2 linked regions of the Yarrowia lipolytica genome follow. Each later gene encodes a partner of the first gene's protein in a complex. Links are inferred from orthologs where the notes say so. Each region holds a gene or a part of one and is shown in the gene's direction. Other genes may lie near its edges. The genes, in order: YALI1_B12847g and YALI1_F34105g.

Region 1 (4,795 bases):
CATTGCGTACATGTTGGTGACTGACGAAGGGAGAGACCGATCGAATCTTGAGACGGCGACATGGCCGAGGAAAGACAGGGATATATATTAGTTTCGCGTTATACTTTTTTGGTGGAAAAAAAAACCACAAAAGGAAAATGCCGAATAGGTTTTGACGCATCGACAGAACATAGAGTATGCCATTAAAACCGACGAAAAAAGGCGTTATAGAGAATATGGACGTGTCATTGGAACAAAAAGACTTTAAAAAGAATTATCCAAATTTCATCCAATTTTTTCCGATTTTTTCCGGGATTTTTCCGCCCCCAACAATGTCAAAAAATCCTTCTCCATTTCTTTCCATGCAACACTATCCTTCCAGCCACCCAGCCAGCCCAAAACAGACAGACGCAGCCCTAACCCTGCCTAAATGGAATGGGCCACTTTTCTGGGCGCAACCCTAGCCCCCAAATGGCAGGCCAGCCCGGTCGCGTGGGCTCAACGAATGTTTGTTTTTTATTCTTTTTTTTTGTGTCCCTGGTCACGTGAAAAACGAACGAGAGGTCACGTGACACGGGATGGGATATATGCATCACGTGACCTACGCAAGATCCTCGCCCCCGGGGTATTTCCACGTGACTTATTTTCCAAAAAAAACAGAAAAAGGTCGGTGCTGATTTCGGTTAGGGCCGCCGTCGCAATTGTGTCAGCAAAGGGATATGCGAGGGGAAGCACTTTAGGGTTAGGGTAAAGACAGGGTAACTTGAGCGGCAAAAGAGCAACTTGGTGAGAGTGGGACTCGAATGTAGGGCCGACTCGGAGCTACTGTACTTGGAGTAAAGCGGGAAACTGGGTGGGAAACTGGGTGGGAAAAACACAAACTAGAATCGATCGCTGTGTATATATAAATGAGGCTGTTTGTGTTTGTCATGTTGACGGGACGTGGGATAGATAAGGAGGGTGTTACTTGTACTCGCTTGTACAGTATGGTATGTTCCCGTACCGTACCTTCCAGGATGTGTATATATACTCTTAGACTAATGGTGTGAAGCATATGACAAGTTGGATTGAGAGGATTGAACAAGGTGTGAGTGGTTAATTGTGGTGGTTGTGTGAGTGGTGGTTAATGGGCTCATGGTGATTCATGGAGCACTTTTGTGGTAGGTGTGGTATATCTGGAGTTCGAACCAAATGGGGAGATAACTGGGTCGTATGGAAGGAGAAGCTCTTGATGTTACCTTGATCTTCATTTCTTGATTGAGGGTACTTGATGAGAAGTCGTCTATAGATGTCTTTCAAATCATCTACTGTACTGCCAACTGTTATCAGTCTGAAACTTGAGATAATGGGGTAGTTGAATGAATTGGAAAGATTGTATACTAGTTCAGACGGCAGATGAAGCCGCAGTAGAAGCCATTCGAGTATAGAGCACGGCATTACACTGGTACTCTTCCTATACTTACGTAACACACTGTGGAGTGTTAGAACATGGACATACTGGTTTCATGATAAGAACAAAACTGCCAAAAGTAGCAGGTGGTTGAAGGTACTTGCACTTAGAGAACAACTCAGTTCCCCAGCTATAGAATCCACACCGAAACCATGTCTTTGACAGAGAGCCCTGAAGCATACAACGATTGCCTCTTTATCATTAGATACTTGAGAGTCACGAGAAACGAATAAAAGTGCAATAAACAGACTCTTCAACAGATTCTCTACAGATTCACTCAGTCAAATCTACTTCATTTTCATTAGTCATCAATAACTAGTACTCATAGTCACCTGTAGCTGCTTTTTACAACCTCCACGCAAGACCTAATTCTGAGCACACCCGTATAATTATCTACAATACGACACTAGACATGATCTGCCCCACATTCACCATATATATATAATCCCTCTTTGCCACAGACACTGTGCTCATCACCACCAACCAGCACCAAATATCCCCTAACCCTACGCCCTCGGGTTCAAACCTTCATCACTTCCTGTCGTCACACTATCAACTTTTGCAGTCTATTGAACAATGGAGGACAAACGCAACGCTGAAAGCGCAAGTTTGGGCGCTTCTTCCGGCGGCGACAGCAAGCGGGCCCGTGTTGCGGCTCGCCCGGTGTCGCTGGAAGACGTGGCCGAGTTCCAGAAAGAGGCCATTTTCCGGGCCATGGAAACCTATCGACGTGAAAAAGAGACTCTGGAAAAGCAGCTGGAGACGCAAGGCGAAAAGGAGCGGGAGCTGGAGGAGCGCGTCGTTCGCCTGGGCACGTGGTGGGACAAGGTAGCCGATCGGTTGGCCTTGGTGGTGGGCAAATATGAGTTTGAGAAATCAAAGGTCAAGACTGAAGATGTGAAGAAGGAGGAAGACACAGAGAGAGACGCCGGTGATGAAGACGAAGTGGAGGTTGCACCTGGACCTACCGGATTGGCTACGGACCTGGAGCTGGAGGAAAAAAGTGCCTCTATCTCGAGTCACTTCTCCACCCTTCTTGATCTCATTGGGGACAAGATCTCCAAGCAGGACAAGACGGAAGTGTCGCGTCTCAGTGCGGGATACACGGATATGGCCGAGCAGCGTCATCTGCTGGTCCGGAAGATCCAAGATCTCGAACATGAGGCCCAGACCATGAAAAACCAGTACCTAGCAGCAGCCAAGAAGCTGGATAGGTACAAGTCGCCCACCGTGAAGTTGATTGAGGGCGAAGATGTCGAAGAGAAGGCGGAGGAGAATGGCGACCAAAAGACTGCACAAATGGAGGAAAAGAAGGAAACTGAAGATTCCCCAGATACCAAAGATACCGGAGATACTAAGGCCCTGAGAGAAACCATACAAGTCCAGGAGGAACAAATGAAAGAACTGGACGCGAAAATTGCTGCTCTGGAGCACGAGGCTAGTCTGTTCAATGCGAAAATGGCGGATCTGTCCGAATCCGACCTCCTGGATCACTCTGGAGCATTTAAGGCTGCAAAGGAGCAGCTGAGCGATAAAACAGGGCAGATTTTGGCGCTGGAAAAATCCCGTGACGCCATTTCAGCTGAAAAAATGGCCCTCGACGAAAACAGACAACAATACCGGTCGACTATCAAGCGGGAGTTTGAAAAACGCGAGTCTGAGCTCCGTTCGCAGCTGTCACGGGCCGAAACCGATCTTGTGCGAATCAGAACAGCCAGAGACGAGATTCTGGCAGACTTGAGCCAGAAAAAGGCCACTGAAGCGGACAAACTTAAGACGATTGAGTCACTGAAAGAATTAGGCGAGGTGTACAAGCTGCGAATTGGCACTTTGGAGTCTGAGGTTCAGCGGTGGAGAAAAGAGGGAAACGAAGGAGTTAACATGTCCAGCAATGTCGAGGGAAAGTCGCTGGAAGAGCTCAAGAAGGAGGTGACGGTCCTGACGCTGACTAATCAGAGTCTAATGGCCGAGATCCCCGGAATGGAGGCTGCGTTTGTGTCTGCGCAGAAGATGGCCGAAAACAAGGCTTTGGACGTGGCAGACCGTGAAAGCAGGTTAACTAAGTTGCTTGCAGAGAAGGCCAAGGCCGATGAAAAGTACTTTGCGGCCATGCGACACAAGGACGCGCTGGGTGCCGAGAACGCCAAGCTCAAGGCGCAGATGGTCAAGTCTAGTGAGCTAGTCAACCAGCTCCAGGAGGTGGATGCCAAGACGCGCGCCAAGATTGACGTGCTCGAGAAGACGTTATCGGAGTACGTTTCTCTTCATGCAAAGCAACAGGAAGCCGCCAAGCGTCTGACTAGCCAGGTGGCCGAAAAAACGCACATGTTGAACGGCGCTCAAAAGTACCTGACGACGCTCAAGGAGGAAATGAAGCAGCAGGGCACAAAGCTGTCGGTTGGAGAGCATAGAGCTCGAAAACTGGCTCTGGATAATGCCAAACTGACCAAGCAGATCGAGTTGTCTTCTTTTGGAGGCTCTTCTGATGAAATTGACGAGCTGCGGTCTATTGCAATGTGTTCCCTGTGTTCGAAAAACTGGAAAGACACTGCCCTCAAGGTCTGTGGACACGTCTTTTGTCACCAGTGTGCACAGGACCGGCTGGATGCGCGGTTGCGAAAGTGTCCCAACTGCAACAAGCCCTTTTCCCAAAATGATCTGTTGACCGTTCATTTGTAGAGCAAGAGGAGTGAGGGAGATAGAGGAAGGATAGTGTATTATATGGATGTATGGGTTTGTAAATATGAGTGAATGAATATGAGGATATGTACAGATGTGTACGTACACTGTAGTTCGAACACCCGACCTCTTCAAATCTCTAGCATCTCCAACGAACTTGGAGAGCCCTAGAATCGTAGTCATAACGCCTGGAACTCGTCTAATGTCAGTAGAATCACGTGATAGACATATATTAGACAGGGGTAATGGGTTGAAATGGCTTGTTTCGAAAACTGTACCTGTATTTGTATGAACATACTGTACATGCTGATATGTTGGCTTGTTTTGCCCGACGTTTTTTCGTAAGAAACCCTGAGAGTGTTTGACGAGGAAGTAACAAAGGGGCTCTAGATACTTGTCATACACTTCCTTTGAAGATCTAGAATATGTAATGGTTGTACTTGTAGTTCGTTCCTGGTGCGTAGTATTTGTAGAGTAGGAAGTATTTCTACTACCTTGCACTGAATAGTTGCGATAACTAGCTCATATTTATTGCTGTCAACAGCACAAGTTCAAAAACCCTTTCTATTGTCATTCTAGAATCTCCACCTCGCTATGTCATACTCCGTTGAGTACAGCGAAGCCCAGTAATCAGTTAGACACTAGCCACTAGTCTAGTCTACCTAGGAGGGTACCACTACGGTAGTT
Region 2 (3,079 bases), on another chromosome or scaffold:
AACACAGTCTGAACAAGCTGTTTGAGAGCAACAACGAGGAGGCCATTCAGCTAGGCAAGACCTTTGAGCGTCGACGAACCCTGCATTTCGAAAATAGCACTGAGACCCAGGAGAAAAAGCTGAAGTACAATGGTTCCAACGCTGCCCGGAAGATGCATCCCAGCGAGGCCATTTACAAATCGGTTGTTGTCGACGGCTCCAATGTCCACAGATACGTTGTTGCTACACAAGATCCTAGTTTGCGAGGTCGACTTCGGTCCATTCCTGGAGTCCCTCTCATTCATATGAACCGAGCCATCATGCTGCTGGAGCCCTTTTCCCCTGCTTCTGAGCGTGCTCGTCAGCTGATTGAGGCGTCCAAGCTCACATCCGGTCTCAATGCCGTAAAGCGAAAGGCACCTGAGGGAGATGAAGAGCAGGCCAAGAAGCGAAAGGGTCCAAAGGCGCCTAACCCTCTGTCAGTCAAGAAGAAGAAGGTATCTAAGGAGGATCAGGGTAAGCGAGAGCGACCTGAGGAGAAGGAAGATGATTCCCAGTCAGTCAAAAAGGTGCGACGAAAGCGTGCCAAGAGAAAAGATGGTGAGGGGGGAGAATCCAATGAGGGTGGAGAGACTGATGAAGTTCCTCAACTTGTGAAGGATTCCCCCAGAACTGGAGAGGATAATGAGACTAAAGAGGAGACTCCCAAGAAGGAAACGAATTCGGAAGGCAAGGACGATGTTCCTATGAGCGACGAATAAGCAAATAATTTATACATTGATAGATTTACAGTAGGTGAAGGGCCGAACAGGCTACGGAGGAGGTAGAGTAGACAACAATGTACAGTGGTAGGAGAATATTATAGTATGTGTCGAACTGGGAAATGATAATAAACAACGCGAGCGTATATCTATCTGAGAATCCCACAGCTTTACTCACTCTCACTACCGCCAACATTACACCTCCTCAATTACCCTAACCCTACCCAATACTTCGCAGATCTCCACGAGATCAACTCGACACCAGGACACAATGCTCAGACAATCACGGCGTCTTTTCTGCACGTCTCAGCGGGTGCTCAAGAAGCGAGAGTCGCCCCTTCAGACTGCCTTTGGCAACGATGACCCCTACGATGACGGTTTTTTCCACATTGGCGGCAACAACTACAAGGTCAAGAACCCCATCAAGCCCTCCACTTTGAACATTCCCAAACGATGGCCCAAGATGGCCACCGACGAGCAGCAGGATGTCGTCGATTACCTGGAGGATCAGATGCGTGGAGACTGGAAGATTATGACTCCTGAGGAGAAGCAAGCTGGTGAGTATGGAAGGGGAGAACAGACACTAAGGGTATGAGTATAGGAGTGAGATACTAGGAGACACAAACCCGGAGCGGGCCCCAACCGTTACCCCGGTTGATTATTCCACAAACGAGCCCATAAACTAACCCAGCTTACTACATCTACTTTGGACCCTGGGGACCGCGAGAGCCTAACCAGGATCCTGATCGGGGCATGCGATTGCTTACCCGATCCATCTTGTGGATGGCTGTCGGATTCGCATTCTACACTGCCGCCAACCAGTACATTGAGTTCTCCGAGGAGAGCGACTCTGCCTCCAAAAAATAGTCTGTATATAGCCGAAGTCTTGTTTTCGTTTTTAGCTTGTTGCCCGAACTGCTGTTGCACTAGTACATATCGAAGACTTCTTGGTCACGTGACACGTTGCACAGCCCGCAAAAAATCGCCACCGTAACATACTGGGTATGGTGGCTCCTGCCCTATTGCATATAAGGCATCCGTGATTCCGGCTTTTACGCCACCCACATTTGTCATCCTCTCTGCAACCCTAACTCCGTTATATAAAAGTGGTTGTCTTCTTCCCAACATGCAAAGTCTGGATAGCCAGACTGGCGCGCGCCATACAACTCATTACATCACCACCTGAAACAACCAAACAACAACACACGTCACCCCACGCCGCACACGGTTAAGTAACGACAGGTAACCGAAGAAAGAAAATAAAAACCAAGCCACAGCCATGTCCACTACAGCTCGAAGACGTCTCATGCGAGACTTCAAGCGCATGCAACAGGATCCTCCCCAGGGAGTCAGTGCATCTCCTGTGGCTGATAACGTGCTGACATGGAACGCCGTGATCATCGGACCGGCGGAGACCCCGTTTGAAGATGGCACTTTCCGCATGGTGCTGCAGTTTGACGAGCAGTACCCCAACAAACCGCCAGCCGTCAAGTTTGTTTCGCAGATGTTCCACCCCAACGTCTACTCATCTGGCGAGCTATGTCTGGACATTCTGCAAAACCGATGGTCGCCCACCTATGACGTGGCAGCGATTCTGACCTCGGTGCAGTCGCTGCTGAACGACCCCAATACGTCCAGTCCTGCCAACGTGGAGGCGTCTATGCTGTACAAGGATCACCGTCAGCAGTACGAAAAACGGGTGCGGGACACAGTGGAGGCCAGCTGGACCGACTAGAGCGGATAAGAGACGAACTAGAGATACCATTTTACTGGGAACGAGGGAGGGGCCCGTTAGCGGGACACGCATCGGTTGCATTAAGAGGAGGAAAAGATGAGGAAGAGATTAGGGCGTCTGCCACCATCATGCAGTTTGAGCCACTAGACAATGGACGTTGATGGGGATGTTTGGTTCTAGACCAGTTCATATATCTAATCAAACCTTCCGGAATAGGCTGTAAGAAGAGTACCGTGCTTACGTGAACCACCTGGATCAGGAGATATTCTAAGTCGCTGTTTTTCGTTTGACCGGTGTAGTAAATCCGACATGTCATTAACGTCAGTAATTCCGCTGAATACGAAGCTTATCAAACTACCAGTACCGTACAAGTACATACTCATCGCTACTTCACCTCATACATCTGACTTATAGCCCGTCGGAGATGCTAAATGGATTAAACTACTTGTACAATGAAAGGGGGCCGCGTGTGGCTATATTGAAAGCGGTATTTTGGTCAACATGGTTCCGCAGTTCCTGCGCATGTTCTATCCTTTGGAAAACTGAATGGGGTACGAGGGATATATATTTTTACCTCAGTTAAACATCTGTTAGCTGCAAGTAC

Evidence for each region.
Region 2: the proteins of YALI1_B12847g (region 1) and YALI1_F34105g are in contact, whole or in part, in a crystal structure (PDB 7W75), measured with the Kluyveromyces lactis proteins. The link is inferred for Yarrowia lipolytica from reciprocal best matches to the Saccharomyces cerevisiae genes BRE1 and RAD6. Residues at the interface, in XP_451665.1 of Kluyveromyces lactis: Ser17, Glu18, Pro19, Leu20, Thr21, Gln22, Val25, Ile26, Phe28, Gln29, Ala32, Leu33, Arg35, Cys36; in XP_452450.1 of Kluyveromyces lactis: Met16, Lys17, Glu18, Ser20, Met39, Ile41, Asp50, Thr52, Ser148, Trp149, Asp152, Met153, Glu154, Met156, Ala157.

Annotation. Positions count from the first base shown.
Region 1 is NC_090771.1:1,281,946-1,286,740, reverse strand, and holds YALI1_B12847g (uncharacterized protein), read left to right. Parts: upstream 1-2,005; coding exon 2,006-4,108; downstream 4,109-4,795. UniProt on the Saccharomyces cerevisiae protein: E3 ubiquitin-protein ligase that mediates monoubiquitination of histone H2B to form H2BK123ub1 in association with the E2 enzyme RAD6/UBC2.
Region 2 is NC_090775.1:3,408,512-3,411,590, forward strand, and holds YALI1_F34105g (uncharacterized protein), read left to right. Parts: upstream 1-2,019; coding exon 2,020-2,475; downstream 2,476-3,079. Other genes in the region: YALI1_F34083g (uncharacterized protein), read left to right, coding at 1-740; YALI1_F34095g (uncharacterized protein), read left to right, coding at 1,012-1,297, 1,432-1,607. UniProt on the Saccharomyces cerevisiae protein: E2 ubiquitin-conjugating enzyme that accepts ubiquitin from the ubiquitin-activating enzyme E1 and transfers it to a E3 ubiquitin-protein ligase.